Cricetulus griseus: one gene and its partners. The protein of the gene in region 1 purifies or fractionates together with the protein of each later gene. This does not show direct contact. Links are inferred from orthologs where the notes say so. Each region holds a gene or a part of one and is shown in the gene's direction. Other genes may lie near its edges. The genes, in order: Mrgbp, Vps72, Actl6a, Mbtd1, Epc2, Meaf6 and Epc1.

Region 1 (4,088 bases):
TGCTCTGCCCAGCACTTGGCCCCACCCAATCCAGTGTGGCGTTGTGGCTGTTATACCAGAGTCATTAGTCCCCAAGAGACTACCAGGAGTCTGAGCTCCTATGCAAAAGCAAAGAGCCTTTATTGCAAGCTCCAGGTTGGGCTCTCCATCCGTTCCAACAGGGTGGTTGGATCAGGAAGAACATTGAGCTTAGCTATGGCGGGTTTTTTAAGGAGTAAAGGATGGGGTGTAAGGGAATTCTGGCTTCAGATCGGGGCTAAACTCCAGATTGGGCAGGAGTGAGGCAACAGAAATCCTGTCAAACAGGGATTGGTGCAGGCATTGCTGCAAGGAAATTGTCAACCTATATACAAGTTAGGTAAGCTATTCTTAGTGTTCTGAAGCATCTAGTATTTGTTTGTCTCAATTTTGATTGGTCCCCTGCAGGGTACAGTCTGTGGTTTTTCCTGGTTATTTTAAGAATGAGGCCTAGTGCCAGTATTGTTAGCCTGCAGCCTGTCATGGCTGCACTGATGTTAAGTTAGGCCTCTTCAGTGGCCAGACCAGAAACTAACACCTGTCTGAATTCATCACCAACCCACTTCTGGTGGAGCTCAACTGTGGGGACAGTACGGAGGTAGAAGTAGATGGCAAGGCCAGCAGGACCCAGATGCCAAGGAAGCACCGAACTCTGGGACTGTCATGAGCAACCAGGCCAGGGCCATTCTGAGATGATAAGAGCCTCAATTCTACAAATTGTGGTTGTCAGGCTTTTATTTTTACTTATTTATGGTGTGTGTGTGTGTGTGTACACACACACATACACAATGGTATGGATATAGAGGGTCGACTTGGTTCTCTCCTGCCCCCTGCAGGATCCAGGGGTGAGGCTGCAGTTATCAGGCTTGTGCACAAGCGTCTCTATTGGATGAGCCATCTCACTAGCCCCTGGCTTTAAAACACAAACAAACAACTTTACTGAGATGTAATTTACACACTGTATGATTTATTACTGGCAGGGGGAGAGCCTGAATCTTTTTAACATATTTAACTTAGGGGCGTGTGTATCATGCCATGTAGACTGACTGACTTGGAACTCTCAGAGATTCTCCTGCCTCTGCCTCCAGAACGCTAGGATTAAAGGAGTGCGGTGTTCTTTTAAAGCTAAGGTTTCTGCCAGCTCCCTCTCTGGCCAGAGCCGGAGGCAGGGAAAGGGCTGACCACCAGGGGGCGTGCCGGCACCGGAAGCCAGCCTTTGTTGCGCCTGCGCGGACGCGGATACGCGGCGATCCGGAGCCCAGCTAGCGCGCGCCCTCCACACCGAGTGCGCCTGCGCGGAGCCTGTAGCAACCCTTCTCTCGCCGGACGCTTGTGGCTCGCCCGCGGCCATGGGGGAGGCCGAGGTGGGCGGCACGGGCGCCCCAGGCGACAAGGGCCCCGGCGAGGCAGCCCCGAGCCCTGCTGAGGAAACGGTAGTGTGGAGCCCTGAGGTGGAGGTGTGCCTCTTCCACGCCATGCTGGGCCACAAGCCTGTCGGTGAGCGTCGCGGCGAGCCGCGCACCCGCATGGGGGTGGGGCGGGTAAACGGGCGGGCGGGCGGGCGAGCGCGGGCGGGCGGAGCCTGCGACCTCACCCGAGACGGGACCTCCCACTTCGGAGTGCCCAGTTAGTCCAAGACCCCATGACGTTCCTGCCCGAGAAGCCCTCTCCCGGGGGACGCCCCTGACTTCCCTGCCCTTGAGACACTCCTACCCCAGGGACCGCCTCCACAGTCCCCGCCTCTGCAGCCCCCCTTGCCCCGGACCCGCCTACTGTATACTTACTTGCCCCTGGGACACCCACTTGCCTCCTGACACCTCTATCCTCTTTGACACCTGACTCCTGCAACACCCCCACCTGCCATTTCATACCCCTGCCCCTCCAACGTCCATGCTGTCTGCACAGAGATGCAGCCCTAACCCCTAACCCACTGTCCTGCCTCTCAGGGGTGAATCGACATTTCCACATGATTTGTATTCGAGACAAGTTCAGCCAGAATATTGGGCGCCAGGTCCCATCCAAGGTCATCTGGGACCATCTGAGCACTATGTATGACATGCAGGCACTGGTGAGTTGGACCGTGGCTCACCGCTTTGGGGCTGAAGGTGGAGACGGGTCCCACCCACATCCTGTCTTCCTAGGATCATCTGTGGTAGTACAAGACAGAGCCCACCGGTCACGTGGGGTTCACTATGCAGAGCAGAGAAGAAGTGATCTCAGTAGATGAGGCCCTTCCTCAGGAAAGCCCAAGTCCTGCTGTGGAAAGCACTAACTAGTGATGGTCTCTGACCACTTTTGCTTTAGATCTGGGGTGGCCACAAGAAGTCTTCCAGGGAGATAGATAGTTGGCTGCTGAGATGCCAGAGAATAGCATCAGCCTCAGTGTAAAGTAGTAAGAGGTCCCGAGCGCTCTAGGTGGAGGCTGACCCCATCTGAGTCCCATTGAGGTGCACTGGATACCCCTGTGGGAGCCAGATGTAGTCCTCTTTGTAGAGCTTAGAGGTAGCGCTGTCTGATGGGTGACTGTGTAACTGGTTTGGAGAGCTGGCAATGTGTGACAGGTATGCAGGGTAACTAGTAACCAAGCTGGGCAGATTTGTCTATAGTGTCTGACAGGCAGTGTAACTTCAGTACCAGGATAGGTGGAGCTGTAGGTGCCTGTGGTCATGGTGCACCTGGGGAACATTGTCCTGGTGGGAATACTGCAGTGGTGAGCCAGGTCAGTTCCTGGTATGCACATCAGCGGGGCTGACATGTTGCCAGTTTCCTCTGGGTGGCACGCGCCTGGTCCTTTTCTCTGGCTTTGTTGGGCTGGTGCTAGCCTGGCCCTCCCTCATTTGAAAAGCCCAGCTGCAGTAGACTCTGCAAGCTAGAGCCAGGAACCCTACCAGCTCAGCCTCCAGCCTGCTCCTCCTGTGCATCTTAGTGAGCTGATACCATTTTCTGTTTCTCAAAAATACAAAAAAAAAACCAAAACTGCTTTGTGCCGGCAGCACGAGTCTGAGATTCTCCCATTCCCAAATCCAGAGAGGAACTTTGTCCTTCCAGATGAGATCATTCAAGAGGTCCGAGAAGGTGAGACTCGGCCACCATCGGGGCTGGGGATTAAAAAAGCCGGACCAGGCCAAAGGTGGGGAGGTCTGGGGCCTCCAGGGAGGTGTAAGGATCCTGCTCAGACCCCACATCCAGTGGCACCCGGGAGGTTTTGGGAACCAAGGGCTGGGGAGAGCGGTGCTCAAAGGCAGTCTCCTGATGGATGCCATCTCGTGATGGACGCCGAGGCCTGTGTGGGCAGCGAGAATCGGAAGCAGTCATGGCCAGACCATCCCCCAACGCTGGCCACCACCGTGGGTTTCCAGTGAACGGCAGCTGTCTCCTCCACAGGAAAAGTGGTCATTGAAGAGGAGATGAAGGAGGAGATGAAGGAGGATGTGGACCCCCACAGTGGGGCTGATGACGGTAAGCGTGGCACGCCTCAGGCGGAATGGGACCAGGAAGCCGTGGAGTCAGAGGGGTGGAGGGTCCACTTAGAGATGAGCTCACCTCAGGCAGGAGGGCCCCTGAAGGCCTGGAAGGGGCCAAGCATTCAGCTGTCCCTTCACTGAGACCAAGGCCAAACCTGGGAGCATCAAGTGTGCTCAGACAGGAGACCCCTAGGGAGATGAGGCGTCTCTTATAGCCCAAGCTTCACAGGACTCCCACCCAGGGTAACATTAGGTGCAGAGAGCCTGATGTATATCTCATTATCTAGCTGAACAGGAAAAAAAAATGAGTTTGTGTATATTTTGTCTTCAGCCAAATGATTTTGTTTCTCAGTTTTTTCATCTTCAGGGAGCTTGGGGAAAGCATTAGAAAAATCCAGCAAAGACAAGGAGAAGAACTCCTCAGACTTGGGGTGCAAAGACGGGGCAGACAAGCGGAAGCGCAGCCGGGTCACTGACAAGGTCCTGACTGCCAACAGCAATCCCTCCAGCCCCAGTGCTGCCAAGAGGCGCCGAACATAGACACCTCAGCCCCAGGTGCCACAGAGATGCGCTAATGCTGCAAGCCCTCACTGCCTGTTCTCAGGT
Region 2 (4,127 bases), on another chromosome or scaffold:
ACTGGGCTTTTGTTATGGTTGCTGCTGTTTGATTTTGTTATTGTTGTTTTGAGGCAGGGTCACATTTTGTAACCCTACCTGGCCTAGAACTTGCTATGTAGAACAAGCATAGATCTCTAACTCACAGAGAGCCCTGGCCTCTGCCTCTTGAGTGTTAGGATTAAAAAGGTATGAAACACCAGGCCAGGTACTTAGTTGCTTGTGGGTTGTTGATGTTGTTTTCTTTCTTTAGACAAAAGCTTTCTATGTGACTGAGGCTGGCCCAGAACTTCCCATGGTAACCCAGGCTGCCCACAAATTGTCATCGTCCTGACTTGGACTCCTAGTGCTAGGGGTTACGGATGTCTGCCCCCACCCCTGCTTTTAAGGCACTGTTCTCTGTTTGCTTGTTTTCTTTGAGATAAGGGCTTCTCTGTGTAACCCTGACTGTCCTGGAACTCCTTCTGGAGCCCTGACTGGCCTCAAACTCAGAGATCTACCTACCTACCTCTGCCTCCCTAATGAAGGGATTAAAGGCATGCGCCACCACCAGTCAGCTTCATGTTTTTTTTTTTTTTTCTTAATTGAAATAATGTTTTTGAGCATGCTAGGGATAGAATCCAGGAGCATGCAAACTAAACAAACATACCTCCGCTGTGTTATATCCAGGCTTCTTTTCATTTTTTAAACTTTGAAACAATTCTACTACACTAACTAGGCATGATTTGAATTTGTGATTCTCTTGCCCTATAATGTGTGAGAGTTAGGACTGACTGTCATTGGAATTTTAGAGGAGGGAAATGAAAAGGCCAGTATTTTTAGAAAGGCTCCTACTAACAGAATTAAAATAGAGGTGGTGAGGAAAAAAGGGCTTGCTGCGGGCCTAGTACACAGCCTTTCTCTGTGTAGCTTTGGAGCCTGTCCTGGCACTCGCTCTGGAGACCAGGCTGGCCTGGAACTCACAGAGATCCTCCTGCCTCTGCCTCCCCAGTGCTGGGATTAAAGGCATGCGCCACCAACGCCCGGCCTAGCACACAGTTTTAAATCTAGTACTCAGGAGGCAGAGGCAGGAGGATCTCTATGAGTTCGAGACCGGCCTGTACTACACAGACAGTTCCATGCCTGCGAGAAATTATGCAGCGAGACCCTGTCTGAAAACAAACAAACAAACAAAAGGTGGGTGGTGTGGAGGGGACATCCTGGTACTGTTTCTAGGCTCTGCCTAAGAGTGGCCAGGACAGCCTGGTGAAGAAGGCTTAGAGGCTAGATTTAGAAGCGTTCGATGCTCGGTTGCTTTTGCCTGTAGTCGCCGGGCTTCCGCCATTGGCTGCCGCCCACAGGAAATAGTGTCGAGCTCCGATTTCCGAGAACGCGAACTGGGCAAGGGGTTGCGGGCGGCCGCACAGTCTCTGTAGGCGGTATGAGTTTGGCTGGAGGCCGGGCCCCTCGGAAGACCGCTGGGAACCGCCTTTCTGGGCTCCTGGAAGCAGAGGAGGAAGATGAGTTCTACCAGACGACTTACGGGGGTTTCACGGAGGCAAGAGCCGGGCCCAGGAAGAGGGAGGGGAGGAAGCGGAATCTTGAAGGGAAAACCCTGGACAAAGAGGAAGGGGGCGGGGAGTAGAGAGAGGTGTTCTGAGAGCCAATGCTCCGGACTGGGTGACACTGTGAGTGCCTGGCTTCGTCTGTGTGTCTGCCTTTTCTTGTCCTGTTGTCGGGCTATCTACGAAGAGGAACCGCTTCAGAAACAGAAACTTCATTAGCACACTCCGTTTTCAGCTCTCAAATAATACGGTTTTCTTAGATGACCGACCCTCTATTGGCCGTTCTAAGAGAATCCCCATTTATATTTCTATCATACAAACAGAATTTCAGTTTCTAATTAAATTTGGCTTCTTTTCATTCTCTGGTTGCTTTGTAAGGTCTGTAAGCTTAGAGTTCAGTTTTTTGTTTGTTTTTTCGTTCAGGGCTGCCTCTTGGCTAAATTTTTTTATTAATAAAAACTGTTCATTGATTAAATATATGTGGAGCACCCAGGTCAGTGTACCATATATGATGGGTTGTGCTGAGCTCCTTGGAAACATATTAAAAACTGCCCTGAGGTTGGGACTATTGTTTGTGGCGCAGTGGTAGACCACTTGCCTAGTAAGCCCTAGATCCTGGGATACCAGCCCCTGGCAAAAAAATGAAAAGGGAAGCCCCATCCTGCAAGGAACTGACTGGTTTCACAATCAACTAAGATACTTCATGATAAAGACTTAAAGTCAAGGAAGCATGAGATACTGTGGTAACCGGGAGAGGTTTGTGTTTTGTTTTTTTTTTTTAATTGTATTATATTTGTGTGCTTGCATATGAAGATCAGAGGGCAGCTTGCAGGGATTCAGTCTCCATCCATCATAGGAGCCCCAGGAATCAAACTCGGATGGTCAGGATTGTACAGCCAGCTACTTTACCCACTGAGCTATCTTGAAGGCCCCAGAGTGGTTTAAAGGTAGGCACTCATGGGGAAATAACATTTAAACTGAGGATATTATATAAAAAGTAGGCGTTGGTTGGATGAAGAGTCAGGGAAGAGAAAGGCTCAGTTGGAGAAGAAGATGAAATAGTCTGTTTGTAGAGGCGCCGAAGCCCCACTGTGACACCTACAAGTCTTTTGTTCTCTGGAAGAGTAAAGATTGTGATAGCTAGAGGTTGTAGACCTGAGCTGGATTTGTTTTGGAAGGTTTTGTTTTGTTTTTTAGAGACAGGGTTTCTCTTTGTAGTAGCCCTAGCTGTCTTGGAACTCACTATGTAGACCAGTCTGGCTTCACAGAGATCCACCTGCCTCTGCCTCTCATGTCCTTCTTAGGTGCCCTCTCCCAGGAGTACCACTCCCATGTAGCCCTGGAACTCAGAGATCCACCTGCCTCTACCTCTCGAGTGCTGGGATTAAAGGTGTGCCCCACTACCCCTGGCCTTATGTAGTTTTTTTAAAATGGGGTTACTTAGCCAGCCTCAAAGTCTAGGCAGCCCCCTGCCTCACACTCTTGATTCCTGGAATTGCAGGTACTTGTCACTACCCTTGGATTCCCCCTCCACCTCCGAAATCAGATTTTGAAGGACATAATGAAGCAGCATTAAGCAGTTTGACTGCTCATTTAGAGGTCTGAGATGAGGCATCAAAGTTCCATCGTTATATTTGTGATTAAAAAGATTACTCTCTAGCTGGTGGTTTCCGGGAGGCTGGGACAGGAGTATTACCACCAGTTCTAAGCCACATGGGCTGTGTTTCCAGTTCTGTCCTGACTCTGCCATATATATAACTATGAGATAAGCCTAAAGAGGGCAGTGGCAGAAAAGAAACATGGACAAGGGCTGGGCTGGGGATGTCACTCATAGGATAGTGTTGAGAGTTGAAGGGAGTTTTTTGAAAGAAAAAAAAAAAGTAGACAAGACTTTATGACTAACTAGGAGCCTCTGTGTACACAGCTTTAGTAAACTAGTTTAAAATAGATCTCTCTCATTCTTCCTCCAAGGTTCATTTTCCTATTCCTGTCATTTTATGAGATGTTATTTTAATAGGTGCACCTCATGCTTCCAAAAAGGATTTAAGAAAGGTTACAATAGAAACAAAAATTAGGAACAATAAAAATAGAAAATGAGCAGAACAAAATATATTAATGTATGAAATTTCAAAGACTAAATAAAAATATTTTTAAAAAATCAGAAATATTTGTGCCAAGAATCTAGCTAAAATGGAAATATTTGATAATTCTGAGCTTCCTGGTAGCCAGACTGAATCCGTTCTTTTCTAAGACTGAAATATATGATATATTCAAGAAAGACAAACCTATTTAACATTAACTTCTAGGAAGAATGTCTCATTATTTCCTTACATGAAGTACAACTAAAGTAGTAACAGGTTTGGTAGATGTAGAATGTCCTCTTGTTGTGTATTAAGGAGTGGAAAAGATCTTGTCCAGTGCTACGACAGTAAATCCGGAGTGTAGTAAAAACATTAAGATTGGGCACACTAGTGGGAACTTGATCTACCACTCTCTGGTAATGTGGCTTAATACCAGGGTAGAGCTGAGTTAATGTGTTCTGAGTCTCTTTCACAAACATTAGTTAGGAAGAACGGTGGTCACTTGTGCTGGATTGAACTCTGG
Region 3 (3,500 bases), on another chromosome or scaffold:
TCTGTAATATAGCATGAACTAGCCAGTGCTTTAATTACTACACATTGAATAACTGGGGTCCTTCCTCCCTTCTGCAGTGGAACACCAGGGCAAAGAGAGAGAAACTGACAGAGTTGATGTTCGAACACTACAGCATCCCTGCATTCTTCCTTTGCAAAACTGCAGTTTTGACGGCGTATCCTTAAACAATGTGACCGCTTTTCTCTGTGATTGTAAGATATTAGTGAGGATGTGTTTTCCTTTTTTTCTAGCTTTTTACCTATCTTTGAGTATTTTTAAGTTTTTTTCCCTGTTGTTGGTATATGTACACAGTGCTGGGTTTCATAATCACAATCTCCTTCAAATATATCATGTACCTGGACCATATTCACCCGACTCCTTAGATTCCCCTGCATGCTCTAATAGTCTCCCTACTTTCTTTTTCCACTCTGCCATCCAGGGTGGGTGCATATGCATGCACACAAATGCATGTGTTTTTAATGTATCTGTGAAGAATACTTGGATTTGCAAATACCGTTGTACATGTAGTATCTGTTTGCCTTGTCTCATGTAATTTTTTTCTTCAGTTTTTGTGCAAACAGCATTATTTCATTCCTCCCGGGTAATCAAATCTCCCATGTGTGTGTAGACCAAGTTCTCTTCATGTTGATGGACACCTAGGCTGACTTTATGACTTGGCTGTTGTAAGTAGTGCTATCATGAGTGTGAGTATGCAGGTATCTTGTGCTGTGTTGACTTAGTTCTTTTGGCATAGACCTAGTAGGTCTAAGTGGATACTAAGTAACTTTGTAATTTTTTGAGGACCCTCTTTACTAATTTTCATAGTGGCTGGACTAATTTACAAACTGGCAGTGAGTTCTCCTTCCCAACATCCTCATCGACTTCTGCTGTCTGTTCTTTTGCTGATAGCCATTCTGATTCAGGTGAGATGAAATTTCATTGTGGTTTTAATTTGTATTTTTATGGTAGATTTAAGGGTGTTGAGCATTTTCTCTTGGTTATTTGCCATTGGTAATTCATCTTTTAAGAGCTTTGTATTCATGCCATTAGGCTATTATTGATTAGCCTGCTTGTTTTTGGTCTAGTGTTTTGAGTTAGGTATGTATTCAGATAGTAATCCTGTGTCTGATGTGTATCCAGCAGATTGTCTGCAATTTCTGTGGGTAGTATGTGCTTCTGGAGTCTTTCTAAAATCATTTTGTGCTGTTAGGATGGTTTTCTGGGCTCCTTTTCTCTACTTTGAGGCTGTGCTGAACTTGTTTTGTGCCCACCATGTTCTCTTGACTCTTGTATCTCCTTCTTGCTCTTTCTCCATCCACATTACACCCCCTCCCCCATTATTGCTGAAGTCCCAGGAATAGGCTGGGTGGTCTGTTCTTCATTTTTCCAGGACATGCCAAGCTTTTCTTTCTGCAGATAAACTGACCTCTGTTTTACTAAACAAGATACCCTTTAGGGCAGAGATGGCTTGGGTTAGTTTTATGAATCCTTTGTCTTTAAGGAACGTTAGTGGCAGCCTTGTTGTATCCTCCACCCCCACCCATCTCTGTCGTTTACCTCCTCTGAAATGTTACTAGTCACCAGACTCGGGAGGACGTAATAGAAGTTGAGGAACCAGTGAAAGGCCCAACTCATAAACTTGCATATGGGTTGTCGTGTGTAGTTGGGGGAAATGAACCTGCCTTTTTCAGCTGTTGAGTCCACCTGGAATTGCTTGTTGGGCTTACTGGGGTAGAGGCTGGAACCACCAGCTAGCTGCCATATCACTGCAGTGCTTCTCCAAGCTCTCTACCCAAGGTTCTCACAGCCTCTTGCTGTTCTTGTCAAGTTTGTAAATTTTGTTTAAAAAAATTTTCTCAATTTGTTATAAGCCTTTTGATCAATTGTAGAAGTTTTCAATATGCTCGTTTTGACCCGCTTAATTAAAAAAGGGTTCTGCATAGAAACTGCTCTGGGAGTCCTCCTTGTGGAAGTTCATTTTCAAGATAGATTAATTACTGACACCCATTTTTCTCCCTAGACAGCTTTTTTTTTTTTTTTTTAATTCTTTTATTAGTTCAAATTAGGAACAAGCCTGCTTCACATGTTGATCCCTCCCCCTTCTTTCTCCCCTCCCCACCAACATCCCACTGCCCCTAGCTATCCCCCCTCCACTCCCCAGGCAGGGTAACGCCCCCAAAAGGGGCTCCCCAAAGTCTACCACATCATCCTGGGCCAGGCCTAGGCCCTTCCCCATGTACTAGACAAGCTTTTATACAATGCAGGTGATAAAGTATGTTTAAAGAACTGGCTTGAACATTACAAGAGCCAGCCTGTCATAATCAGCACTATCCTTGGAGCCTCGATGCTTATTTTTCCTTAATGCTTTAAACTAGATTTGCTAATGGTCGTTCTACTGGACTGATTTTGGACAGTGGAGCCACCCACACCACTGCAATTCCAGTCCACGATGGCTATGTCCTTCAACAAGGTAACTACTTAATGAGGGCACAAGATTACTTTCCCTGTCATGAGGACACAGATAATAAAGATAGATCAGGAATTCTATTGGAGCCATTCATTCCCAAGTGAATATGTTTTAAGTGAATGCATGGCTTTATGCTTTGAGAGGATAGTTTGGATAATTCTACTCAAAGAAACCTACACATATGCCAACACATTCACAGTCCCAAGGAATTCAGACTTTTGGCATCTTCAGCTTTGTTTGATTTGATTCTCAGGCATTGTGAAATCCCCTCTTGCTGGAGACTTCATTACCATGCAGTGCAGAGAACTCTTCCAGGAAATGAATATAGAGCTCATTCCTCCATATATGATTGCATCAAAAGTAAGCAGCATGAGAAGTTTCTTAGTGAGCCCTGCCTTGTGCTTCTGCTCCTGTGTGGGGAAGCCTCTTAGAAAGCATGTGCTCTTGGTGTTCTCAGGAGGCTGTTCGGGAAGGCTCTCCAGCCAACTGGAAAAGAAAAGAGAAATTGCCCCAGGTTACAAGGTCTTGGCACAATTACATGTGCAATGTGAGTAACCCCTATTGTCTTTATAGAGTGTTGGTTCTAAGTTACATGTTTTTAACATTTGACAAAATGAATACCTTAGGGGTGGGGAGCACTTGCCATATTATCAAAGCAGTCCCTACAGACAAATATAGCAGCTTGAATACATGGAAGAGGTTTTGGTTTTAGGGTAGAAATAGTTTTAGCACACTATTTTATAATAGTGTGCTATTATAGCACACTATAGCATTTTTAAGATGCTTTTAACTGAGCATGAGTTTGAGGCCAGCCTGGTCTACAGAGTGAATTCCAGGACAGTCAGGGATACACAGAGAAATTCTAAAAACAAAAAAGAAGATGCTTTTAGTTCATGTCAAACTTAGTATAACTTAGGTATGATTTCTTCTCTAGCATTAATTAGACATTCAGGAGTATGTCTCATTGCTTCAACAATGAGTCAATGAGACTTTTTACTGAAAATCTGTGTCTGAATATGTAGACCTATGTGGG
Region 4 (4,291 bases), on another chromosome or scaffold:
CACCAAAGGATTCCTTTCTGTCACACAGCTCGGAAAGTAACTGTTCTCCACCTCCCAAAGGAGACTGCTACATCCTCTCACTGAAGCACCCACACAAAAGGTCAGCTTAATTTAGCAAATGCTGGCATTCTTACTGAGGCGTTTCAACAGCCCTAGCTAAATTTAATTCCCTTTCCCAAATGTTTTCATTTTCCTCTCCACCATCGTACTCCTTTACCTTGTTTTTCTACCGCTACTAACACAAGCTCCATGAGATCAGGGGTTTTATTGGCTTTCTCCATTGCTGTGTCTCCCTCCGGTACCTAGAACAATACCTGGGACGCTCTACCTTAGACGGGGGACCCGGTACAGAACGAAAATAACGACAGCGCAAAACTGTATCAATCACGAAGGATTTATAACTGCTACGAAGAACTAGCATCCAAAAAAAAAAAAAAAAACCGTTATAGTCGAATACACCGATCATTCTCAAAAAAGTTGGGCGTGTGTCTCACACGGAGAAATTATTAAAACGCAGCTCTACGCCTTCCGCCCACGCCATTGGCTCCATCCACGAAATGGACTCGCGACAGGTGAGCACACCGCTACCCCGGGGGGTGGGGGGGAGGTTCCAGCAGAGGGTTATCAGAACCCGAAGATGCCCAACTCTCCAGTTAGCAGGCAAACCTTCTGGCAATCAAGGCAGCAGCTGAGCGCCTGCTGGATGCCAAGGGCCGCGGCCCCTTTAGGGCGGAGAAAGACCGCGTCTCCGCCCTCGCCCGCTCGCGGCCCAGCGCCGGAGGCGGAGAGCGCAGCGGTGCCCCCTCGGCGCCCGCGGTCGGACGGTCCCTCCCACCTGAGCGCTCGCCGCCGCAGGTCCCCAGGCTCCGCCCCCGGGCCTCGCCTCCCGCCGCGCACCGGCGGCAGCGTGTGCCCGCTCCGCGAGCAGGCCTCCCTCACCCGCGAGCTCCGCAGCCGCCGCAGCAGCGCGTCCTCGTCGTCCTCGACGTCGCCGAAGACCAGCTGCTCCAGACAGCGCTCGGCGGCCGGCTTGTCGTCCTCGATCGTCAGGCGGTTGCGCTGCCGAAGCCGGCTCTCCTCCTCCGCCGCCGCCGCCGCTGCCGCCGCCGCCGTGACCGCGCTAGGGGCCGTCCTCTGCCCGGCCTGCGGTGTCCGTTGGGATGAACGAGCGGCCTTTCGGGGCGTGCCGCCGCTCCCGGGCCTGGCTTCCCTCCCCGGCATCGCGCCGGCTCTCCGGTCTGGTTTCGTCCGGCTCCTGCGTTCCGGCGGCATCCTCAGGTCTGAGGAGAAACGCAGACGTTCACGTGGAGCACCACTGCGCATGTGCCGGGGCGTCTCGCTCCCCGCCGCGGCCCAGCCCCGGGGAGCCGGAAGGAGCCTGCGCCGCCTCGCGCCACGTGACCGGCACTCACGCGCTACGTCACTCGCACTCCGTCCGACAGCCCCTCCCCGTGTGGGAGTTCCTCAGGGAAGGCCAATCTTCCGGGTGTAGGGGGAAGCGGCGTGACTGGGGTGGAAAATTTTCCCAGCACAACTTCTCAGAGGCAGCAATATTGGAAGGGACTCAAGAGGGCCGGAGTAGAAATGAAAGTGGCTGAAAGAAACTTCTCTTCCTGCTGACTCCGGGCCCCACGCCTTGCCGCGAGCCCTCATTACCTCATCGCCTTCTGGTTTTGGTACGGTCCTTGAGTACGGAGCCTGCCGAGGGTCCCACGCTGGAGGGGAGAGAGGTGGGTACGTGGGGAAGTGGGCCAATCGGGGCGCGGGTCACGGCGCAGGCGCGCTGGGGAGGGAGGGCTATGCTAATGTTGTTGATATCCTGGGGCCACCCGAGTTAAAGGGGGGAAATCCGGGGGCTGCCACTGCCGCCACTGGCTCGGGCCCAGCCGGGGGTCCCCCCCTGTAGTCGCCGCAGTCCCGGGGAGAGGTGCCCGCCCCCTGCTCGGGGGGGAGGGGGCGCCGCGGGCTCGGGGAGCACGGACGGCCCCTACCCATGAGGCCCTGATGGAAAACACAAAGGATCTGGTGAGAGCCGAGCGCAGCAGCCGCTTTGTGTGCCAGGTTTGGGGGGGGGACGCCTGCAGCTGCCCGGCCCCAGGAACCCCGCAGCTCCGGGACCCCGCTCGCGGGCCTGTTTCTTCATCCCACGCCCCCTCCATCTCCAGAGCTCCCCTCCCCCTGCTGGCCGTTAAACGTTCAAGGGGTTCCCCTCCCCCCTCAACTTGTGACTTGGGGTTCTCTCTACTCTCTGGGAGGAAAAAAAAAATTGAGAAGAATTGAGAAGAAAGTTTTTCTCTGCCCTCCCCCCCACCCACCTGTTCTGGCTGAAGAGAAAGGCTAGATCGGAGGAGAGTTTCCTTTTTTTTTTTTTTTTTTTAAGCTGCCAACGGTGGGAGAGTGGTGTCCTCCCTTCTCTGGGGTGTGGGGGCAGGCGCAATCAGAGTTTGAAGGCTTTGCAGGGGAAGGTGCCCACTAGTGTGGGGCCAGTGCCGTGAGGCATTTTGCACGTGGAGGTGCTGATATTGAAAGGGGGCGGGGTGGGCACGTGTGGGAGGGAGACGTAGGAGTGGTGTCGGGGAGTCGGCGGCCGAGGCTGCTGCTTCAGAAGAGTTCCAAGGCGGTGGTGGGCTTCCATCATCCTTTCGTTCTCCTTTGTGAACTAGTAATCCTAACATTTCAGAGTCGGAAGAGACACTAGAAGTCACCCCAAGCAGCCGCCCCTGTCCAGCTTCTGACAAGTGGTAGGTAGTCTGACCTCTACTTAAACCTGCATACATAATGACACGCACTGCCGCCCGCCGAGGAAAGCACCTTCCATTATTTTCAGTCTTTCTGATAACGATACTCGTTTGTCTGCCCTTATTAGACCCTTCAGCCTCATTCATGTCCTGGTTAAGTTGCTCCCTTTTTTACTTCTCAAATTTGTTCTCACATCCTCCTCACCCACCCACTGCTCATTGGCCTATATTTTCCTGCCAGGAAAGAAGAGCAAGGAAGTGGAGGAAGGGGGGTGGGGAGAGTTAAGAGATAGTGAAGGCCAACTGAAAACTTTGCCTGCCGGGTCGGTTGCAAGTGTGCTGCTTACATGACTAAAGGTAGTTGATAGTATTCTCGGGAAGCTAGAGAATGTCTACGTGGGGATTTCATGGTTGTCTCGCTGGTATTCTTGAGATTAGGAATTTTAACTCCATTTCCTTAGTACTGCCAGTTACATTTGCCTGTGCCTGAATCACTTTTCCTAAGAATGTCTAAAATTGGGCCTAGAAAGGAATAGTGTTGAAGCTGATGAAGGCAATTACCGGTAAAACAATCAAAACTGTTCCTTCCTATCGATTTGACTTGTGGTCTTTGCAAACCCAGCCCCCTACAAAAAGGGAAGGCTGTGCAGCACAAAGGGTTGTTTTGTTTTGTTTTAACATTAGTGTATTATGGGATAGCGCATGCTACATTGGGGGGGGGGTCAGAGGACAGGTTGAAGTCATCATCTCAACTCCCATGTGGGACCCAGGTATCAAACCCAGGTCATCAAGGTTGTCGGCAAGACTTTTACCTACTGAGCAACCTTCCCCCCCCCAACAATTCTTATATGAAACTTAAAGTGTTTATAACACTTTAATGTTTACTTTTGAGTTTTCAGTATTTTTAATCATCTCTACATTAATATGCAGCAGAATTTGTCACCTAGTAGTTCACTTGAAAATACATATTGGCACCCACTGATGTGCTTAACTCCCAGTATCTCCTGATACTGTTAAAGCAAACTTTTTCCTGTTCCCCAGCCTATGATAGAGCAGTTGCTTTGCTCTTGTGTGTTTCAGACTGTTTACCTCAACACCAAAGAGTGTTTAGAAAGAAAATAGCTGTTTTTGCACCACCTCCTCTGAATAACAAGTAGCTTCTATTTATATAGAACCCCATATTCAAGGATTGCAAATGCCTTGCAGATTAGGGCAAAAGCTGTCTTGAATAAGTGTCTGTTCATAATATCTTCTCCTGAGCCAAGGTTTTTAACCATTTTGTAACTTTGAGCTTGAATTTCCCTCAGGGCTAGTCACTAGTGGATCCTAGCTGTGAAAATTTACAGAGCTCTTTACTCATGTTTTCAAAGTTTGAGTCAGTATGGGCTTTCAAGTTTTTTTCCTGCTAACTTTAACATGAACTGTCATGACATAATTGGACTGACTTTGGAAGCGTTTGCATTCTAAACATACTAGACAGGAACAACTGGTTTTGGGTTTGGTTTTTTTTGTTGTTGTTTTTTTTTTTTTTTTTTTTTTTTTTGGTTGGTTGG
Region 5 (2,576 bases), about 120 Mb from region 1:
TTAGAGCCTATGGCTATCATTGTTAGTAGCAGGCAGTTTTACACAGAATCATGAAAGAGTAGCCACTGAGTTTGGTTTGCTTTGTTTTTTGTGAGTCTCTTCAGATAACTAACCTGAAGTTTTTGCAGTCTTCTTCAAAGTTGGATTGGTCCAGGTTTTTACATTTTGATAGAAGTGGCTATTAATCATGTCTGTGATTTTATTTTATTTATGGTGTCTGCTCATTAAGCAGTTTTAAAGTGTTCATTATTACCTAGAAAAGTTAATAGAACTTGGATTTTTCAATTTAGTTGTTTTTCTCAGAAATAATTGCTTGCTAGTTTCTAGTGATTTTCATGCTTCATAAACCAAAAAATAAAAACAAAATAAAATAAAAAACCTCACAGCTAAGTACTTTCGACTATTCATGATTAGAAAGGCAATGTCCTTGCGTTCCGAACATTCCTTAATGTGCTCATTAATCCCATCTAACAAAACTGAGGATGTAGGGTGCTGGCAAGATTTCCTAGCTAGTAAAGGCACTTGCTGCCAAGTCTGACAACCTGAATTGGATCCCTGGAACTGCCTTGGTGGAAGAACAGAACCAACTCCTGACAGTTGTCCTCTGACCTCCACACATACTCCATATTCCTGTTTCCCCTGTCACTGGCAGGGGTGGGAGGTGGGGGCAGGGGGGATTAGTAGATAGATACATAGACAGACAGACAGACAAATGTGGAAAACTGAACTGTGCTTCTATCCATTTTATAGGGCTCAAGCACCTCTGACTGTATGTCTAAAACACTTGACTCGGCCAGTGCACACTTTGCTGCATCTGCAGTTGTCAGTGCTCCTGTTCCTAGTCGCAGTGAGGTATCCAAGGAACAGAACACTGGCCACAACAACATGAATGGTGTTGTCCAGCCTTCAGGTACAACTGGGGTTTCACATAATACTTAGTAGTTTGAAGTTGCCACTTACTCAGTTGGGTTTGGTTTTGTTATATGCACAGAGGAAATGTATACAAGTGCTCTTCAGAATGCCTGGACGGATCTGGATGAGGAACTGAGTGTTTCCAGAATTCTCAACACTGTCTTCTGTATGCCTGCCTCCATCCATCCATCCTGATTACATCTTAGACTATCAGTTGCTTCACATGTTAGGAAATATCCATTGAGCTCATTATCAATCACCCCCATTGATTCATCTATGAATTGATTAAAAAGTGAAATACAAAACAGCACAGTCAGTTATAAGGCTTGAGGTTGGGTTTACATACCAATGTGCACATATTCTTAGATATACTTCCCCTGACTTCTCCTTTAGGGATACATTATGGCTGTGAAAGCCTGCCTGCTGCCTACTGCCTGTGCTCCAGGGACAGTGCTTCTCTGTCTCCTCCCAGCTCCCAGCTGAGAACCCTCTAGTTTCATTAGATGTACTCAGGAGCATCCTCCTTCTTTTCTTTCTTCAGCCCGCATTGCTGATCTTTGTATGCCTATAACTGTTTAGGGCAACCCAGCCATCATTCTCATCTGTCCTATTGTGTTTATCTCCAAAGTTGACTCAGAGAGAGATAGCAAAATGCTTGGTGAAGCCTCTTTGTATGACTGTGATATGGAAAGTTAACTGAGAATTTATTGAACTAGAATATGAGTACACTTACTTTCATTAACTAAATTCCTAATTCTTAGGGGGTTTTTTTTATTGTCCCATGACACTAATTGAATGATTTCTCCCCTCTTCTGCAGGACCATCTAAAACAATATATTCCACCAATATGGCTTTATCATCCAGCGCAGGGATTTCAGCTGTACAGCTTGTAAGGACAGTTGGCCACACTACTACAAACCACTTGATCCCAGCATTGTGCACAAGCAGTCCTCAGACGCTTCCCATGAACAATTCCTGCCTGACCAATGCAGTGCACCTCAATAACGTCAGTGTTGTTTCTCCTGTCAATGTGCATATCAATACACGGACTTCAGCACCATCGCCAACAGCCTTAAAACTTGCCACAGTTGCTGCCAGTATGGACAGAGTGCCAAAGGTTACTCCCAGCAGTGCCATCAGCAGCATGGCCAGGTGTGTGGCTTTGCACCAGCTTCTTGGAGGAGAAGGGCCTTTGGCTTTTCACTGCTCAAGCAGTATCTGTTGACAGACTTGATTTTTCAAAAAGCTTGAGGATTTGCTTAACACAAAGAAAGCTCTGTGCCCACCGACACCAGTTAGCGTCCTTAAATGCCAACTGTAGAAAGATGAGAATGTCAAATTGATACTTTAGAAGCTTCAGTCACTCATTTTTTTTTATTTTATCTTTAAATTTTTTAAAGATTTATGTTATTTTATGTGTATAAGTGTTTGGCCTGCATGCATGTGTATGCACTGTGTGCATGCCTGGTACCTGTGGATACCAGTGGAAGGCAGGTTCCCGGGGACTGAGTTACAGAAGGATGCAGGACATTGCCTGTGTGCTAAGAATCAAACCTGGGTCCTCTGCAGGAGCAACAAGTGCTCTTAACTGCTGAGCTGTCTCTCTACCCCTATCACATCATATTTTATAGACTGATAGTCTAGGTTGGAGCTATCAGTTCATA
Region 6 (3,500 bases), on another chromosome or scaffold:
AGAATACCAGGCTACACAACCATAACATATATGCAGAGGGCCTAGGTCAGACCCATGCAGCCTCCCATTGTTGGCCCAGTCTCTGGGAGCTTCTGGAAGCCCTAGTTAGTTGATTCTGTGGGTTTCCTTGTGGTGTCTGTCCTTGAACCCTCTGGCTCCTACAATCCTTCATCCCCCTTTTCCACAGGATTCCCCAAGTGGGTACCTTTTCTCTACTAACTATCTATTGATTTATTTATTTTTAAGTTTTATTTTATGTGCATTGGTGTGAAGATGTCAGGTTCCCTGGAATTGGAGATACAGACAGTTATGAGCTGTCATGTGGATACTGGGAATTGAACCCAGGTCCTCTGGAAGAGCTGTCAGTGCTCTTAACCGCAGAGCCATCTCTCCAGCCCTGTTATTTATTTATTATTTTTAATTATATTCATATGTCTGTATGAGGTATGTTCATGTGAGTGCTGTGGGCACCCAAGGAGAGGTGCCGGCTATCCTAGAGCTGAAGTTTTAGGCGGTGAGCCTCAAAGTGAATTCTGGGAATTAGTCTCAGGTCTTCTGAAGAGCAATACATGCTTTTAACCTTGGAATAATTTCTCTAGCTCTCCCCACACCCCATAACGCTTTGCAGAGAAACAGGATTCTCTGCTGGTTTGTCAGTTTTGCCAGGGTCATCAACCCTTATCCTCTGGATGTAAGTCTTCCTCTCTTGTGTGTACTCTTTGTTACATAGCCCTTATGTAGTAGGGTGGTGCTTATGTTGCCATCTGGTTTGTCTTCAGCACTGTCGTCCGGTTACACTGTTGCAGATTGCATGGTTTCCAGGAACTCCCTAGCTTTGATACTTTGAATGTCCATCCCCTGTCAGCTTGTATCTTCTCTGTCACATGGCCTGTGGGCTCACAAGCAGACATTTGCTGCTTACAAGAATTTGGGGAATACTGATCAGGCTTTGGAACCTATTTTCTTTCCTCTAGGGGAACCAGGAAGTGGGACAGAAAGCGATACTTCTCCTGACTTCCACAATCAGGAGAACGAGCCTGCCCAGGAGGACCCCGAGGACCTGGACGGTTCCGTTCAGGGAGTGAAGCCCCAGAAGGCTGCCTCCTCTACCTCCTCAGGGAGTCACCACAGCAGCCACAAAAAAAGGAAGAATAAAAACCGACACAGGTTAGTGGCAAGGTCCCACCCAGTCCCAGAGTTCTCATGACTACTGGGAGGGACTTGGTTGGAATGAAAGTGCCTGGGACAGTGGCAGAGCCCTCATGCTTCGGGTGGCAGAAATCTTCTGGTGCTAGTCCAGTGGGCTGGTGTTCTCTGAGGGAGGAGTGGGTGGCAATAGAGAGGCCCCGCAGGATCAATGGGAGCCACCACGATGGACTGTGACTCCTGAGCATTGGGTCCTTGCTAAGAGGAAAGTGGAACTAGAAAGACTCTGGTTATTGGGAAGCTGTGACCTGGGATGGAGGTTCTTTGAGTCCTGGGCCCCGTCTGCTCCTATGAGAGCTGAGTTGCCATGCCTTCCTTGACTTTTTAAATATGGGTTTGGTTTTGATTGTTATGACTTTTCTATTTTGTAGTTCTCTGAGTATGCTGCCTTCAGATACGGGGAAACACTTAAAGCTCCTAAATGCGAGCATTCCTTCGTAGGAACCACCTGAGCACTGCTACTTTTGCAGTGGGAAATGAGATGGGGATGACACCAGTGCACAGAGAGGTCAGGTGTCTCAGGGGGTTTAGTGGTCACTCTGCCTGGGTTTGTATGCTGATGCTGGGCCTTAGCTCAGAGGGTGATGAGTCTGCAGGGCAAGGGGCTCTCCCTCATCCTGGTCTTGGAAGCCTGAACACTTTGGGGGTGAAAGGGGTGTGCAGGGCTAAGGAATTGCATTGCATTAGAAAACTTCGGGGTGTCCCTTCCTGCACCTAAGGTGTTCCACTGTGAACTTCATAGACGTGGCACTGTGGCTAATATAGAATTAAATTTAACTGGTTTCAACCTCTTTAGTTTTTAAGTTTTTCTTGTTTTTTAAATTGCAGAAATAGTGTTTCCTCCAAATAAATAGTGCTGAAGGACCACCGCTTTACTGTTTTCTGCAAACCAAAAACCACTGTGCTAATCTCAAAGTATAGTAAGAAACAGCAAAGAATTGTCCCCTACCATCTTGGTAAGGATGTAGGTTGTTGGAGCATTGCGGTAGGCTTGGGGCTACCTTATCACAAACAATAGAGACCCATACTCTTTTTAAAGAGTATTTTGTGGGCTGGGAAGATGGCTCAGTTTGTAAAGTGCTTGCTCTGCAGGCTTGAGGACCTGAGTTCTAATCCCAGCACCCACATCAAAGCACTCAGTGCATTGTATGTGTCTGTAAACCCAGCATTGGGGACATTGATATCCTGGGGGCTTGCTGGCCAGCCAGTCTAATAGAAGTGATGGGACCCTTTCTCAAAGACTACATGGAGAAACACCCAGCATTGACCTCTGACCTCCATATGCACACACATATATACTACATACACACAAATTGGCAAGATAATTCAATATTTTCTTCTGTGTTGTTTTTATTACATTTAGTTTCTTGTCATTTTGGGGATTCTTTTCCTATTTCAGAGTGTCTAGAGCAGGGAGACCATTCTTGAAAGTCCCTGGGACTCTGCACCACTGACCAGTGTCCTCTCTAGATCCTGCTGGTTTCGTGTAACACCTCATTTGCACTAGCGATGTGGGCAGCTCTTGACTGGTGAAAGGCGCTAGAGAAGTGTTCCCTTTAACTGTCCTTGCAGGGTTCTAGAACATCTCCATGGAAATAACAGTTCTTTCTTATCCCTCCCTTTTCCTGGCCCCAGGAATGAATCCCTTCCAGAAACACACTAGCGCTTAGAAAGACAGTTCTTGGGGACTGATCTCCTAAGGGGCAAGTCTGGCTTAGAAGGTGGACTGGGTTTTTAGCTCCAGAATTCCTGCCTCAGTGGTGGCCTCCCAGGGCCTGGTGTGCTCATCGGCCCCCAGAAAGGCTTGTGGCACACGTTGCTTTGTTTCTTAGGAAGCTGACCCCAGCTTCCTAAGTGGTGTCTCAGTGGGCTAAGGCTGTTGCAGTCCTCTTTGCTACCTTTGTACACTCAAGGGCAGGGGTGGAGCACATTATTCATACACGCTGGTGAGCTGGCACCCAGAGCAGCGCTTCCTTCTCCACTGTGCGGTGGCCCCTGTAAGTCAGGCCACGGTGACAAGATGTCCAAGGACTTGCCACATGCCCCCATTTGAGGAGAAGCAGGAAGTAGTCGAACTTACCATTTACCCCCCCCCCCCAGGAGGGGGGATGGAACACAAAGCTTCAACTGTGCTAGTCAAATGAAAATCGCCAGTTTTCTAAATTCTTATATTTTACATATCTGAACAACAGTTAAGTCCCACTGTCTTTAAAGAGAAAAAAGTAAATACTAGCTGCTCTTAGAGGTTTTTACTATTACATCATACCCAAGATTTGTTTTTGTAAATCATTGCT
Region 7 (4,181 bases), on another chromosome or scaffold:
TAGAGCCTCAACCTAGGTTGCAGACCACTTCTGCCAGTTCCAGTAAGCATTGGTTTCCATCCTAAACTCTTCGGGAGAGGCAGTTAGCGAACCTAGATGCTGGAGGAAAGGCAAGTAAAAAGTCTCACTTCCTCCCAGAGATGATCTGTCAGTATTGGAGTTTTAGGGTAATCTGGAAGAACTGCAGTCGGTATTCTGCTTGTCTGCTCTAGCAAAGCATGCTCTTTTAGGACGAAGGTCGTAATTAATGTTGCATAGAAACAAACCTGAGAGATAGTTTGCCAGTGTACGCTAAACTAATTAACAGTTCATATCAAACCCTGTATTTAAGAATAGTGATTATTTTTACTATGTAGCCCTCAGGGAGAAAAGCAGACTTAAAACAGGTTTTTAAAACCGTGATGAACATTTGAAATTTTGCCGCCAATCTTTCAAAATCCACCCTAACAGCCCTCCCAGTTTATAAAATATCTCACTGAAAAGAGATACCTGGGTACTAATTTTCATGTATAATACAAACCAAATATTCAAAGTCTTATCAACATCTATTTTTTTAATAAATTAACTTTTAATGTCCCTTTTCTGGTGTGGCCGCCGAACCAATACAGGTCTTTGATTCGATTTTATAAAGTTTCCCAGAGAACAGATGGCAAGAGTGTGAACCTACTTACGGCTGCATTGAAGTAACGTTTACTTCTAATACTGCCGAAATGCACCAGCTAGCTAGCGACACGGGCTCTGGAATTTGGAAACTGTGTTTCACCAAAGATTGTTACAATTTGCCGCAATTATCCTGCGAGCGTCAATTAAACTAAAAGGGGTAGGATTGGATAAAAACTGCTTTGGAGCTGAATATATATATAAGTGGTATTTATAGCGAGCCCCGGGTGGGAACTTGACCGGCGATTTGATGACAGAACCTGTTCAGAATTGTAACTCAGTTTTGTTTGACTTAAAGAGTTGGCCTGTGATTTCGCGTGCAGGTTTATTTCTAAGTCCTGCACCTCCCGCACTGCGCTGCGCTGCGCTGCGCTGCGTTGCGCTCGCCCTGCGCGGCCAGCCCCGCGGTGACAGGTGCCCGCGCCCGGGACGCAGGCCCGAGCATCCCGGCCGCTCTTGGCGGCGGCCTTTCCAGGGCCCCGCGCGCGGGCGCCGAGAGCTCGTCGCACCTTCGCCCGTCCGAGGACCGCGCCGGGCGGACGCGAGGCCGCCGGGCGGAGCGGGTGAGGCGAGACGAGACGAGACGAGGCCGGCGGCCGCGGCCGGCGGGCCGGGGGTTGGCGGGACGCGCGCTCCGTGCCGCGCCGCGCCGGCGCCCGCTCGAGCCCGCGCTCCCCCCGCGCGTGCCCGCGCCGCTGCGCGATGCAGTGTGGGGAATGGCTGGGGTTGGCTGAAGAGCGCACAGTGGAGTTTTAATGTCCGCCATGTTGGCCATGGCGTATTGAAGAGAGCGAGTGAGCGAGGCGCGGAGCGGCACAGCCTCCCACCCTCCCGGCTGGTGTCAGGGCCCGGACGGCGGGCTTTGCGCTCCGCCCCCAAGTCCCCGGCAGCGGCAGGCGAGTGGAGACCGAAACCCCGGTTCTCCATGATCCCGCTGGCCGGGGCCGTTTCCCCAGAGCGGAGAGGTATCTGCTGCGCCTGAGATGAGTAAACTGTCGTTTCGGGCGCGGGCGCTGGACGCCTCGAAGCCGCTGCCGGTCTTCCGCTGTGAGGATCTGCCCGACCTGCACGAATACGCCTCGATAAACCGGGCCGTGCCGCAGATGCCCACCGGAATGGAGAAGGAAGAGGAGTCGGTACGTGTTAACTCCCCTGTCCGACCCGCCGCCAGGCCCGCGCCCTCCGCTGCCCGCGGCGGCGGCGGCGGAGCAGCAGACCCACACAAAATGGCCGCCATCTTCTCTCCGCCGCCGACTCTCGGTCGCCGGCCGGGCCGGTCCCCCGCCTCCCCGGTGCTCGGTCCCGGGCCGCTGAGGCCTAGCGGGGCCCCCTCGAAGGCCTTCCGCCGCCCCCGGCCACTGGTACCCGGGTCCCGCGGAGTTCGGGGGCCCGAAAGGCACAAAGGGGTCACGTGACGAAGCCGCCGGCAGCCATTTTGTGGTCTCAGTTCTTGGGTTGGGCCTTGTGCATCCGGAGAGGGAAGCGGGCTGGGCGGCGGTGGGGGTGCAGCGAGCCGGGAGTGGGCCGCGCCTGCAGGTCCCTCGTAGGGCCGCTGGGTGGCGCTCCGGGCCCGCCGCGGCCTGGCAGCGGCTGCCGGCGCAGGCTTCGGGCGCGCTTCCCCGCGGCTCGGTGCAGTCCCCCACGTGGAGCCTCCGAGGGGCCTGTCATGTTGACTTCAGGGCTCAGGCTGATTTCTCTCCCGATTCCTGCAGGAAAATGCCGAGGGTGCCCCTTGTCTGCCCAGACGCCTTTACTTTTAGAGAAGATAAAACTCCCGGTATATGCTTGCTTGCACCGGCTGTGCTTGTTAACCCGGCGGATTTAAAATAAATAAAAGAACCCACTGTCTCCCCCAACTTTTTGATCTTTGAGACAATGTTGCAGATTTGTTTACAATATTGTATCTGTCCTCTGCAGCCTGCAACTTTTTAGTTACTTGTAAGTTAAATTTGGGTTTGCCTGCTTTCAGAGTAACGATGGAGAAGACTCGGTTCAATAACTCTTAAAACTATAAATTTTGAAAGAAGGTCCTTTTTTTTATTAATAGCCGAGCTAAAGTTGAGTGAATTCTTCACAGACATCCTAACATTAAGATGTCCTAACTGGGTGGGCTGCAGTAGTTAAATTGTTTATACAGCTAATGATTTACTTTAGCCGTGGCCTTTACCTTGCTGTGGAAGTTGGGTCCGACACAGAGATAAGAGAATCTTCCTCTCATTTCCCCTAAATCGTTAACATTTTAAATTCTAATTCTGAGGAATTGCATACGTTGGTTTCCAGGTACAGCCACTTAAACAGGGTGCTTTGTGTTGACAGTTCAAGGAAGTCAAGGATTCCCATGGACTTGTGTGCTCCAATTTTGTTGTGGAAAATTGTACTGTAATACTTCTGTGGTACTGTAAGAATTTTCTATTCTCTGTAATGTTTTTCAAAATAAAACTCTTCAAACTGCTTGGGTTGTTTAACCTTTTAAAGTAAAATAGTTTTGACAGTCGAATGTTACTTTGGGGCGGAGGGTCTTGAATCTACCTTCACAGCTGAGTGCTAAGTGTATGTAGTAGATGAGATGTGTGGGTAGTGTGCTGACTTCTCAGCAGCTTATTTGCGAGCGCAGTGCTCTTTATTTTGACCTGTATCAACTTAGAGTAGAATGGTGCCATTTGTTTATTTTTAAAATAAGTGATTTGTTTTTTTAAAAAATTAAAGTACTTGTGACTGCAGAATCTTGTCTTTTTGTTTTATTTTTGTTTCTCTATGTAAGTTTTACAGATATTGCTTTCAAGTTGGGGTGCTGGTGATACCCTGCTTGAGGGATTAACTTGTAGCTCTTGTGAATCTAAGGTGGAAATCATTAAGCAAGAGCAAGACCCACAACAGTGCACTTTAGAAATGGAGTTAGGTCTTGCTTATCTGAGTCTTTTGGACAGTCCCAAGAACTACAATCTAAAACAAGAGCTGAGTTCAACTTAAGGGTCTGTCCATGCATATTAACATTTACAGATAATTTCGGTCACTGAAACAGTCTTGGTATTGTGCAATGACTGTCACTGGGTTTTAGCAGGTGAAGGTCCAACTTTTGTTAGATATGGGGATTTCCTTTTTCCCCCTTGAGGGTACCTTTTTCCATCATCTGTTTAGAATTTTTCAAGTCACAGCCAATCAAAACTGTATATAAGTGAAGCCTAGATTGTTTGATAGAACTTAAAATCCTTCGTAAACAAACTGTGTGTGTCCAGCTGCTAGTGACAGGCTATGTGAGTCATGGTATTGAAGGTAGTATGTTGTGTAGTATTGAAAAGTACCAAGCATGATGTAATTCGGAGGTAATCTTTTGTACTTGGAAAAAGAAGAGTTAAAGCAAAGTTCATGGCATGTGGCCTATGCTTCCTGCCAGGTCCTGTAACCTGGGACCTGAATTGACTGTCCAGTTTAGAAAAGGGCATATACTCTTAATTTAGTGTCAGTCTTGAGACTGTTAAGACATAGAATCTAGTTATCATAATCCAACTTCATGGATTAAT

Evidence for each region.
Region 2: the proteins of Mrgbp (region 1) and Vps72 purify together in Homo sapiens (co-immunoprecipitation; 5 studies listed by BioGRID and IntAct, counting the BioPlex papers as one, with this or other methods). This does not show direct contact. The link is inferred for Cricetulus griseus from reciprocal best matches to the Homo sapiens genes MRGBP and VPS72.
Region 3: the proteins of Mrgbp (region 1) and Actl6a purify together in Homo sapiens (co-immunoprecipitation; 4 studies listed by BioGRID and IntAct, with this or other methods). This does not show direct contact. The link is inferred for Cricetulus griseus from reciprocal best matches to the Homo sapiens genes MRGBP and ACTL6A.
Region 4: the proteins of Mrgbp (region 1) and Mbtd1 purify together in Homo sapiens (affinity purification with mass spectrometry; 4 studies listed by BioGRID and IntAct, counting the BioPlex papers as one, with this or other methods). This does not show direct contact. The link is inferred for Cricetulus griseus from reciprocal best matches to the Homo sapiens genes MRGBP and MBTD1.
Region 5: the proteins of Mrgbp (region 1) and Epc2 purify together in Homo sapiens (co-immunoprecipitation; 4 studies listed by BioGRID and IntAct, counting the BioPlex papers as one, with this or other methods). This does not show direct contact. The link is inferred for Cricetulus griseus from reciprocal best matches to the Homo sapiens genes MRGBP and EPC2.
Region 6: the proteins of Mrgbp (region 1) and Meaf6 purify together in Homo sapiens (co-immunoprecipitation; 4 studies listed by BioGRID and IntAct, counting the BioPlex papers as one, with this or other methods). This does not show direct contact. The link is inferred for Cricetulus griseus from reciprocal best matches to the Homo sapiens genes MRGBP and MEAF6.
Region 7: the proteins of Mrgbp (region 1) and Epc1 purify together in Homo sapiens (affinity purification with mass spectrometry; 6 studies listed by BioGRID and IntAct, counting the BioPlex papers as one, with this or other methods). This does not show direct contact. The link is inferred for Cricetulus griseus from reciprocal best matches to the Homo sapiens genes MRGBP and EPC1.

What each region holds. Positions count from the first base shown.
Region 1 is NC_048599.1:1,357,064-1,361,151, reverse strand, and holds the start of Mrgbp (MRG/MORF4L-binding protein), read left to right. Parts: upstream 1-1,288; 5' UTR 1,289-1,367; coding exon 1,368-1,515; intron 1,516-1,964; coding exon 1,965-2,086; intron 2,087-3,011; coding exon 3,012-3,093; intron 3,094-3,402; coding exon 3,403-3,477; intron 3,478-3,834; coding exon 3,835-4,022; 3' UTR 4,023-4,088.
Region 2 is NW_023276806.1:61,386,911-61,391,037, reverse strand, and holds the start of Vps72 (vacuolar protein sorting-associated protein 72 homolog), read left to right. Parts: upstream 1-1,327; 5' UTR 1,328-1,399; coding exon 1,400-1,516; intron 1,517-4,127. UniProt on the Homo sapiens protein: Deposition-and-exchange histone chaperone specific for H2AZ1, specifically chaperones H2AZ1 and deposits it into nucleosomes.
Region 3 is NW_023276806.1:116,638,970-116,642,469, reverse strand, and holds part of Actl6a (actin-like protein 6A), read left to right. Parts: intron 1-77; coding exon 78-175; intron 176-2,375; coding exon 2,376-2,470; intron 2,471-2,720; coding exon 2,721-2,827; intron 2,828-2,924; coding exon 2,925-3,014; intron 3,015-3,500.
Region 4 is NC_048600.1:106,796,784-106,801,074, forward strand, and holds the start of Mbtd1 (MBT domain-containing protein 1), read left to right. Parts: upstream 1-1,491; 5' UTR 1,492-1,730; exon of another isoform or gene 1,731-1,734; intron 1,735-1,783; exon of another isoform or gene 1,784-2,025; intron 2,026-2,680; exon of another isoform or gene 2,681-2,741; intron 2,742-4,291. Other genes in the region: Utp18 (U3 small nucleolar RNA-associated protein 18 homolog), read right to left, coding at 940-1,323. UniProt on the Homo sapiens protein: Chromatin reader component of the NuA4 histone acetyltransferase complex, a multiprotein complex involved in transcriptional activation of select genes principally by acetylation of nucleosomal histones H4 and H2A.
Region 5 is NC_048599.1:124,755,247-124,757,822, reverse strand, and holds part of Epc2 (enhancer of polycomb homolog 2), read left to right. Parts: intron 1-750; coding exon 751-910; intron 911-1,730; coding exon 1,731-2,064; intron 2,065-2,576. UniProt on the Homo sapiens protein: May play a role in transcription or DNA repair.
Region 6 is NC_048595.1:27,952,502-27,956,001, reverse strand, and holds part of Meaf6 (chromatin modification-related protein MEAF6), read left to right. Parts: intron 1-974; coding exon 975-1,167; intron 1,168-1,577; exon of another isoform or gene 1,578-1,714; intron 1,715-2,034; exon of another isoform or gene 2,035-2,162; intron 2,163-3,500.
Region 7 is NC_048596.1:208,059,696-208,063,876, forward strand, and holds the start of Epc1 (enhancer of polycomb homolog 1), read left to right. Parts: upstream 1-1,381; 5' UTR 1,382-1,643; coding exon 1,644-1,796; intron 1,797-4,181. UniProt on the Homo sapiens protein: Component of the NuA4 histone acetyltransferase (HAT) complex, a multiprotein complex involved in transcriptional activation of select genes principally by acetylation of nucleosomal histones H4 and H2A.